2 linked regions of the Arabidopsis thaliana genome follow. The protein of the gene in region 1 purifies or fractionates together with the protein of each later gene. This does not show direct contact. Each region holds a gene or a part of one and is shown on either strand. Other genes may lie near its edges.

The links.
Region 2: the proteins of AT5G40810 (region 1) and AT1G16700 fractionate together in Arabidopsis thaliana (co-fractionation; one large-scale study listed by BioGRID). This does not show direct contact.

The regions. Positions count from the first base shown.
Region 1 is NC_003076.8:16,338,194-16,343,702, forward strand, and holds AT5G40810 (Cytochrome C1 family), read left to right. Parts: upstream 1-1,669; 5' UTR 1,670-1,809; intron 1,810-1,977; 5' UTR 1,978-2,006; coding exon 2,007-2,066; exon of another isoform or gene 2,067-2,395; coding exon 2,396-2,607; intron 2,608-2,715; coding exon 2,716-2,995; intron 2,996-3,077; coding exon 3,078-3,149; intron 3,150-3,239; coding exon 3,240-3,356; intron 3,357-3,476; coding exon 3,477-3,542; intron 3,543-4,017; coding exon 4,018-4,134; 3' UTR 4,135-4,734; downstream 4,735-5,509. UniProt on the Arabidopsis thaliana protein: Component of the ubiquinol-cytochrome c oxidoreductase, a multisubunit transmembrane complex that is part of the mitochondrial electron transport chain which drives oxidative phosphorylation.
Region 2 is NC_003070.9:5,707,810-5,712,687, forward strand, and holds AT1G16700 (Alpha-helical ferredoxin), read left to right. Parts: upstream 1-1,814; 5' UTR 1,815-2,052; intron 2,053-2,155; 5' UTR 2,156-2,202; coding exon 2,203-2,256; intron 2,257-2,671; coding exon 2,672-2,750; intron 2,751-2,850; coding exon 2,851-2,904; intron 2,905-3,014; coding exon 3,015-3,106; intron 3,107-3,186; coding exon 3,187-3,300; intron 3,301-3,398; coding exon 3,399-3,466; intron 3,467-3,577; coding exon 3,578-3,689; intron 3,690-3,789; coding exon 3,790-3,885; 3' UTR 3,886-4,234; downstream 4,235-4,878. Other genes in the region: AT1G16690 (Enhancer of polycomb-like transcription factor protein), read left to right, coding at 11-76, 201-239, 341-421, 524-571, 666-716, 831-899, 1,002-1,238, 1,353-1,562; AT1G16705 (p300/CBP acetyltransferase-related protein-like protein), read left to right, coding at 4,660-4,706. UniProt on the Arabidopsis thaliana protein: Core subunit of the mitochondrial membrane respiratory chain NADH dehydrogenase (Complex I) that is believed to belong to the minimal assembly required for catalysis. Complex I functions in the transfer of electrons from NADH to the respiratory chain.

The sequences.
Region 1 (5,509 bases):
CCTATAAACACACACTAAATTCTGAAAGAAATAATGTTAGGTTGTTTAATTTCTTTTTTTTGTTTGTCAAATCAGATATATTGATATAAAACAAGGTTACAAAATATATAAACATTATAATACAATTATTATACGCAAATACAAAAATTTGATACAATTTTGATAAAGGAGTGAAAGTAACCCGACATTACAAGCAAATAGGCGTTGGTCATGATACATAAATATTTTTTAATTATAAGAAAATTACTATTATTTTAAAATCACAAATTTTAAACTGTATATTTTCTTAATTAGGCACTGATGAACAATTCGTGATACAATGTGGAAACATGTCTCAAATCGAAACCCTTATTTGATATGTTATTAAGATACCTGCTGGGGAGGTGCCTCATCCCAAAATAAACTAAATTAATTAACATTCATTTAGGTAGAAAAATTACTATAATGACATACTTAATCATATAATTATACTTTTCCTTCATACCACCAATAAAAGCAGATCGCTATCTAGCTCTTAGACAAGATAATAGCATAGCTTTTAATTTTGATAAAGCTGAATGGTCCTTGTAGATAAAGTTAAGAGAAGAATATGTTTTTTTTTTTACAAAGGCTTGTTTTCATTCATTCACATAAAAACAAGTACAAGAAGGAGTGATTCAAAGATCACAAAGTTTAAAACATAATTAAAGGAGGTATTCCCCAAAGCCAAAACATAATAGAGGCATTTCTCTAAGACACGAAAGGAAATGCATAGCATTCAAACCGACTCATATTAAATCATCTCTCATAAATGAAAAACTACTTCCACTTGAGACACTAAAGGACTCACCAATCAACATATTAAGAAAGTTACTGTTTCGTGGCTTGAAAATATGTAGAAAAGCTTCCAGGACGATGTCTCATTCATTAATTTTCTGATGATTCCAAATTCGTTTTCCGAACCACAACTTATGATTGCAAAAACCTAATGATTCGGCTTGAGTTGAGTCATGATGAGAATTTCTCCTGCTTAATTAAAATTCTGTTTTTAGGTATAAGAGATTCTATTCAGCAAAGATATTCAAGATGAGTAACAGATATTAAACATACCATGAACATTCACAAACCTGTGGGAATTAATATATGAACTTACCTAGCAAAAGCGAACATGTAATTTCTCATTTACATTTTCCCGTACTATGTAAAATTGAAACACATTTTCAAGTTTAAGGAAGATTATAATTTTGGAGTCGATGTAGTATCCCGAGAGCATACGAAACATATGTTGTATTTTCAAATTTGCGCCTCTCGATATTGAACTACAATAATGCATGTTAGATTCAAAGCAGCCTCGCTTTGGACCCTATAAAATGAGTTAATGCAAGCCATAATAATTTATCGATCGACATATTTACTAAACAAGCCAGAATGTGATCTCGATCTCAGCCTGTGTTAATCTTTTTGTAATTGAACATTCTGGACTAATGAACTCTTCACTATTGAAAAAAACAACAACACATAGATCATTTACACAAAGTCTCCCTTTACTAAATTTCAAGATTTGGTCCATTTATTCCAATGAGAAATATTCCAGATATTTTTTTTGGCTGTTGACTGTACGGATAGGCCCTTAATGGGCTTTTAATGGATTAAATTAGGCCCATGATACTTGAAAAATCTGAAAGGTGTTGTTGTGTTGTGTGTGACAGTCCAGTCGCGTCATCCGGAGACATCCATTTTCTCTGGTAGCTGTTTACTTCTTCTTCTTCTTCTTCTTCTTCTTCCTCCTCCTCTGTTCGTCAATCGCCGATCTCGTTGCTTCATTTTCCTGTGAGTATTTTCTCGATTCGACACATCTCATATCCGAATCTGCCATTTCTTCATTCAATTTTGTTTATTTGTTGGAACTTCGGATCTATATAGAGAATCGAGTTTTCTAGGGCTTACTCATTGTTTCGGGTATATGTAATGGCTGAGAATCTTCTCTGTTTGTATCAGTGAGATCGATTGGTACAAGTGTTCATCCAATGGTTGGAGGAGGAGTTATCCGGCAGCTTCTTAGAAGGAAACTTCATTCCCAATCAGTCGTGAGCTTTTTCCCTGTTACATCTTTTTGATTTTCTGCTGTAGCTTAGGATCTGTTTGAAGATAGAATCATATGATTTGTTTTGGTTCTGTCTACACCTTCATTGCTCTGAGAGATTGTCCTTGAAGAATTGTAACTGGAATTGTTGTGGCGTTGGAGATTTTGGGATATAAGAAACTTAGACTTATTGATTTGTGCTTCGAGAGTATGATTAATATTCGATTTCTTTTCAGAAAAAGTAGTCTTTTGATTTGTTGAGCATACACCTTCTTGTGTCTTGGCCTTTTTTTTTGTTTTCTTACTGTTGTTCTGTATTATCTACCACCATAGGCAACTCCGGTATTGTCATGGTTGTCTTCGAAGAAAGCGAATGAAGATGCTGGGTCTGCTGGTTTAAGAGCATTTGCTCTCATGGGTGCTGGTATTACCGGATTATTGAGTTTTTCTACTGTTGCATCTGCTGATGAGGCTGAACATGGTCTGGAGTGTCCTAACTACCCTTGGCCACATGAGGGCATTCTCAGCTCATATGACCATGCTTCGTGAGTGTTCAAGCTACAATTCAATCATCATAGTGAAATTGCAACACTAAAGTTGAAAATTAGAGAAATTTGAGACTGCTTTACTGACGGTTGATTTGTAATGAGCAGGATCCGTCGTGGTCACCAAGTTTATCAGCAAGTTTGTGCGTCTTGCCATTCGATGTCTCTGATCTCATACCGAGACTTGGTGGGTGTTGCCTACACAGAGGAAGAGGCGAAGGCCATGGCAGCTGAAATCGAGGTTGTTGATGGACCAAATGATGAGGGTGAGATGTTCACCCGACCTGGTAAACTCAGTGATCGGCTTCCTGAACCATACTCAAATGAATCGGCTGCTAGGTTCGCCAATGGAGGAGCGTATCCACCGGATCTAAGTCTTGTAACTAAGGTTTGGTGCTCTTTCTCTCCATTTGTATACAATTAGAAAATTCATCTACTATGATCTAAGCAATTTGGCTATTTTCTTCCAGGCACGTCACAATGGCCAAAATTATGTCTTTGCTCTGTTGACTGGTTATCGTGATCCTCCTGCTGGAATTTCGGTAAATTTCTCTCCTATTTTTGCTTTAGACTTGTTATTACAACTTCAAATTGTTGGAAGTTAGAAATAATCCTGTGACTAACGGGTACAGATCAGAGAGGGGCTACACTACAATCCTTATTTCCCTGGTGGAGCAATCGCTATGCCAAAAATGCTCAACGATGAAGCTGTGGAATATGAAGATGGAACTCCTGCAACAGAAGCACAGGTTAGTTTTCCTCTGCTTAAGAAAATAATTTGCAGACCATAAAGTTTTATCAGATTTGACCTTTCCTCTGAGTCAATTATATAATCTTTAATTTTTCTTTTTTTAAAAAACATGATGCAGATGGGTAAAGATGTTGTATCCTTCTTGTCCTGGGCAGCTGAACCAGAGATGGAAGAGAGGAAATTGGTAAGTTTCTTAGTTTCATATATTCCATGTTTTAAGCTGTCGTTTCCATATGTACGAGATTGCAATAGGAATATCAATCTGGATTCTGATTATTTGATTTTCAGATTCAGTTTGAGAAAATTGTTACCAAACTTAAACCGGCATAGTATAGATTGGTTTTGGATGTAGAAAAAGTATCGCCATTTTATCCGTGTTAAGATTTCCTTGGTTCTGTCTTCTGTATAGCGGGATGAACACACCTAGTTGCATAGTTGTGTTGAACACACCTAGTTGCATAGTTGTGTTGACCACACTACTGCTTGTTTCTTGAGGCTGCTAATCTCAGACCAAAACTATTATCAAACATGAACCGTATTGTTACTCTGTATTCAAAACCGTCATGTTGGTTCTAAACCGACCCAAAAAAACCCGCTATACCGAGAATCCAACTCTTTGTGCTTAGATATCTGTTAACGTTGGTTGTATGTGTGTGCAGATGGGGTTCAAATGGATATTCTTACTGTCTTTGGCTCTGCTTCAAGCTGCGTATTACAGGAGACTGAAATGGTCAGTACTCAAATCCCGTAAGCTTGTTCTCGACGTTGTTAACTAATCCCGTGAAGATCACCTTTTCTCTGGGTAATAATCATTAATCTTGAAAGGGATAAATGGTGAATCCCACTTTTTGTCTCAAAAGACATGTTTCTTTGTTTATTGTTTAGAAAGTCTAATGAGGCAAAGAAGTAAAGCTTTTTTAACCTCAAGTCACACATGATTTTGAGATTATATTATTTCTTTTTGGTTTGTTGTCTCCTAAACCGGACTCGGTTTGTCTTAATAAAAATGTGGTTTTACAATCTCTCTCCTATTTGTATATCACAAAACATGATTTTGTAACTATTAAAGTTAAAAAGTTAAAATCTGTGGTCTATTTCTGATAGACCAAAACTCCACAGAACAACCAATTTACCTCTGTTGCGAACTCGATTTTGTAAAACTTAGAAAAATGTAGGCAGGATTTAGACCCGTTAATGTAAAACCAGTTCCGTTAAGACATTACCAAACAAAATTGCACAATCCTACAGACAATGAAACAAACATGCAGGATCGGACAAAACCTCAAAATACAAGTCCACACTTTTAATTGTCCCTTGGAATCAATATTTATAAAAATGTAATGAGCTCAAATTTTTATAACCTATGAAAAGATCAAAATCTTGATTAAAAAGAAGAAAAAAACCAATCAAATCCTGGCAGGCTTCTGCAGAACAGCCGAGAGAAAAACCTCAGCATCAGTTTTCTCTCCAACAACCCATTTCAACTTCTTATACCCAAACCTCTCTATCAAACGCGTAAGAACTCTCTTCTTCTCATCATTACCGCAATAGAAATTGTCTAACTAGAACAATCCACCGGGTTTCAAGATCCGATCAAGATCAAACATCAAGAACTCTAGCTTCTCGGGTTTACTACTAACCGCTAAATCCAATCCGTTAGAAGCATGAATGAGATCAAAAACATTGTCATAGAACGGGAATCTCTAATCCAAACTCCCTCTGAACAACGGAAAAATCCCTCTTGTAGCTATGAATTCGCTGAAAGGAGCATCTATATTTAATGTAATACCGATAATATTCAGATTCTTTTCAGCCATTCTAGCAGCAAACGTGCCTGATCCGCTGCTAATATCGAATCCGATTCGGATTTTCCCATCGCCTAAACCCAAACATCATCTATCAGGAAATCAGTCTTCACTTTAACCTTAACAAACCTATCTTTCTCATGACCAGAGCTAGATCAAAGCAACCAACAAAATCCCGGCTCAGTTAAGACCTTTCAAGCATTCAAAACTTTTGCAGCCAAGACCGCTCCAGTTAACACTATTGTTACTGACCGTTCTCCACAAAGAATCATGAAACAGTGCGAGACCTGGCTTATGTACTGTTTTAGCTTCAACTTCTACAGGAAGTTTGTGCACAAGGAGCCTA
Region 2 (4,878 bases), on another chromosome or scaffold:
TTTTTTACAGGCGCTGAAATATTTGTCCATCAAATATGGAGTTTTCCACGCTATATACAGTTATTGGAAAAATAAGGTTTGATATAGTTGTCGTATAGTTTGATGATAATTGATTTTTTTTTTTTTAATGAAAAGTTGTTAATGGTTCTTTGGGCATAGGCTTAAAACATTAAGTAACTTCGACTTTTGTATTCTTTTAGCGTGAAATATGGCAGAAGCCTATCTTGCGGCGTTTACAGGTATATCATTTGGACTGGTCTCAATCTTACATGTGGAAGAAATGAATTTATTCTGAAATGTACTGAAAATTAGCTACTCTTGTGTTTTTTGTTTGGAACAGCCTCCACCACCGGTCAATGATACCAATCCGTACAATGTGTTTAGGCCACGGGAGAAAGCTCATAGACTACACGCAAGAAGAGTAGGCTGTCTTGTTGTCTGTGGTTTATCAATTTCCTTATCTTACATGTGTGAGTATGGAAAATGCACCATAACTTACTAACAATAGTTGACCTCACTTCAGATGCAGCAGAGAGAAAACAATGCGCAGTCATTTGAGAAGCTGCGACAGGTAAGGGAAGACCTGAATCTGTGTTTAACTTCTTAAAATAATTCCTGGATTCTCAAACGTTCTTCTCTTCTGTTCTGGGATATGTTATTATTAGGTCAGGCGCAATCTTGACCAAGCAAAGACCATTCTAGAAGCTCTTATTAAGGTAATCTAAATGACATCTATATTTTGTGACTTGAATGTAATTTTATTGATATCTTAAGAGATACCTGCAGACTCCATAGGTATTAACTTGATTAAAAACATGTTATCTTTATAGAGAGAAGAGAAAAAGAGGGATTTCATGGCGAGTGAGGTTAGCCTTCAGAGAATCCAACTGAAATATAAGGTAGTCCTCTACAACCTGCATCGAGTGTTCTTTTGTTACCAGAAAGAGTTGTGCATTTCGATCTCCTCTGATTTTTTTTGTGGGGTTTTGATATGTTTGCAGAATGAAACCGAACTTTTGGAAGATAGTTTGGCTCTGGCTGGGTTTCCACTCTCTACAGCTTACAGATTTGGCTCAAGCGAAGATGAATTCATGGACTCCGATGACCCGACCACCACCCAAACATGTACAAGGCCTTCCTTTACCCCTCATCGTCGTTTCACCGACTCAAACCTCGCTCGAGCTCAAGCCGGGAGCATAAAGCAAGAGGCGAGAAGACTTGGATGGCTCCACAAACTGGTAATTCTTCAGAACCTCTGTATTTGAAACATTTGAGACTATTAGGTTACTACATTCTGGTGACAAGATAAAAAAGAGAGAATTACGTTCACTGTTTATGTTGTTTCTGTGTAGAATCCTAATGAGCCAGTTATGCTGTTCACGAAAGCATTGGTCCCCGATAAACTGGCTGCTGCGGGAATCATCCCTCCATCAGATGCAAGAAGTGGAAGAGCTCGGTTTCAAGGAAGAATGGGTAGAGGCGGTCGGATTGTATTTGATAGATGGAATCCTCTAAACCAAGCCCACATTAACTGTGGCAACACTCTCTACATAGCACCATAACATCTCAACTAGTTTTCTTCTTCTTCATTGTAAAGAGTTATCCCCGTTAGTTCCTCCCCAGTGGTGGTGAAGATTGTCACCAAAACACTTTGTATCTCCTCTAAATTTTGTGTAGTCTTTGGTTTTCCCGGTTTATTGATCAATCTCGGCTACTTTGTGAACTTTAGGTCCGGTTAGTGACCATTGATCAGGTATTAACTTTTTTCAGCAATGGTCTAGTTTGGTCCACGTCTTGAGAACCTGGATCCTGAAATGTGTGAAACTTGGAAGGAATTGACTGTCATACCAAATATAACCGGTTTGATTGCCCGGTTATGAGCTGAGTAAGTAGTTAACCAGAAGGGTCAATTTGTAAATTAAGAGACATCTGATCGAATTTTGTTCCGACGACCGTGAATCACCAGCAAAGGATTCGTGTCAATGTTCTTGTGAGATCGAACTTTCTCTGGGTTCGTGCAGAAGCTTTGCTTTTTTGAGTATCGCGTTTAAGGTTCGGATGGAATTTTAGGCTTTTCGTTGGTCATTCTCTTGTTCAATGCTTCTTTTGCTTGATTAAGCTTTTCAGCTAATCGGATTTTCTTCTCTCACATCAGGCACATCGAAGAAGAGAGACCCTAATTTGATATTTTGAGTTCTATCGATGGCTTCGCTACTAGCTCGCAGGTCGTTCAGTGCTCTCCGAGCTCGACATCTCGTAAGAATCTCGTAGGCTCTTCCATTTTATATCGCTTATATTCCTAGAAATTTGGAATTGCTGCTAAGTTTTTTGAAATCACTAGTTGGTATTGTCTGCCCCGGCCGGCTCTAGGCATGTGCAAGTGGTGCTGCTATACATGTTTTTGTCTTTTTTTTTCCTGGGTATTGTTCCTCTATGCATCTCTTTGTATTGCGTTGGTACATCAATCGTGAAGCTTCATTTTTCCTTTAGATCATATACTCTTCCTTGAAGAGAGAATGTATCGCCTAAATGTTGTTATCTCAATCTCTGCAAATATAAATACTTTAACTGAGAGCGTCGTGGTAGTTAACTTTTACTTTCAATAGCTCTTTTGGTGGCTATGCTATGGAATTCTTCTCGCATTTAACATCTACCTTGTCTTTGTTGATAGGCTTTTTCAGGGCAAGGTTTACAGGGATCTCATCTCTGTGGGCTACAGTCCCGTGCTATATCTTATGGAAGCAACAAAGGTATAAATTTTGTTGCTTCCATTTGGGTTCTCTTGGTTAATTTAGGCTATGACTTTTCAGGAATATAGGTTACTAATCCTTTGCCTCTGGTAATATGTAGATGATGAAGAAGCTGAGCAGCTTGCTAAAGAGATCTCCAAGGACTGGAGTACTGGTAAGCTATTTGATCCAGACACTTTTCAACCTTTCTATTCTCTTAGCATTCCTTCCTGATTACTTCCTTCTGCGAGTCTTAGCGATTCCTGATGTTTCTTACTTTTACAGTCTTTGAACGGAGCATGAACACCCTATTTCTCACTGAAATGGTCAGGGGTTTGTCACTGACCCTCAAGTACTTCTTTGATCCAAAAGTTACAGTGAGTGGCTGTCTCCCTTGACTCTAGTAATTAGGCTGAAAGAAAAATATTCTGATTCTCAAGTTTTATCTTTTGTGCAGATCAATTATCCTTTTGAGAAGGGTCCATTGAGCCCTCGTTTCCGTGGTGAACACGCTCTTCGAAGGTATCCAACTGGGGAAGAACGCTGCATTGCCTGCAAACTCTGCGAAGCTGTGAGTTTTTGAAGTCTATGCTACTCGAGAATTCATACCACAGCACAATATTGACATAAAGTGTGATTTTTCATGGATACTGGTCTTTTGCTCATCAGGTATGTCCAGCTCAAGCAATCACAATAGAGGCAGAGGAGCGGGAAGATGGAAGCCGCAGAACCACTAGGTCACCCTCTAAGTTCCCGTTTATTAACCATATATATATTATTTAATACTGTCTTGTCTCTATGGTTCTTCTATATATTTCGTAGTGTAGTGATTGTTCGGAGCTGTACAGGTATGATATCGACATGACGAAATGCATCTATTGTGGTTTCTGCCAAGAAGCTTGCCCTGTTGATGCAATCGTGGAAGGACCAAACTTTGAGTTTGCAACCGAGACACATGAGGTCTGTATAAACAATTCAGAAAGACATAAGATTGCCCATGATCTTAAAGTTAGATGTGTATTATTCGATAAATGACATTCTGATTCTTTTTGGTGTGCAGGAACTTCTGTATGACAAAGAGAAGCTTCTTGAGAATGGAGATAGGTGGGAGACAGAGATTGCAGAGAATCTGAGGTCGGAGAGCCTCTACCGCTGAATATTGATCCGAAAATGCCTTTTGCCTAATTCTTAAGGAAACGTTTTCGTTTGCTTCTGTTACAAATAAAGATGCTTCAGCCTTTGCACTGTTATTGCTATCTGTATTTCTTGAGTTCATACCGATGGCAAAATCAAATTTGGCTTTGTTTCCGGTTTGAGCTGGACCGTGCGGTAAATGGATTATGATATGATTCAATGGTGTTGTTACTCTCAGTGTCGGTCGGTCAAGTGTCTAACAAAAAATTGCTAATATCTGAAGAGAACATTAATGATGTAAAATACAGAGAAATACAAGGGTAAAATGGTAGTTTAATAGACTGGCATGAACATGCATAATTGCATATCTAGTAAAAACCTCTGATTGGCAGAAACTCCAGCTCAGGAACTTACTCTATTTGGAATTTCGTCTTAAATTCGCTTTCTCATCTTCTTTTACTTCTCGGTTTCAAGATCTCTTTCAGAGATTTCTCATTTTACTTATCCTCCTGGCTTGCGTGAGTTTAGACGTGCGACATTGTTTCTTCATCGTAATCATAGGTTACGTTTTCTTGATCTCGTAAGGAAGAATCTTCCTCACTAGGCTCTGATCTTTGCGGTGGAAGATTGCTTCTTTCTTTGTGTATCAAATTTTAAAGTTGGATTGAAGTCCTAGGTTTTATCATCTGAGGTTTAGATGTATCTTCTTTCTTTGCTTATGCTTGGTTTTACTACTGATTATGATTATGCTGGTTAATTGGTGTTGCTTTAGGGATTTCACGTTACACTTGCTCCCATGGACAATGATGTTTTCCAGATTCGCCGGTCCATGCGAGACGCTATGTAAGCCTTCAATTTTTCACATTCACTCGTTCCTCTTGCACTCTTTTCCTTTTCTCTGTTAGTTGCTGCTGTACTACGGATTGAGTTAATGTGTCTGGGAAAGTGGGAATGATCTAACTTATTACTGCTTTTTGGCTCTGTGATCATGTATTTCTGCTTTGTTTCTTAAGAA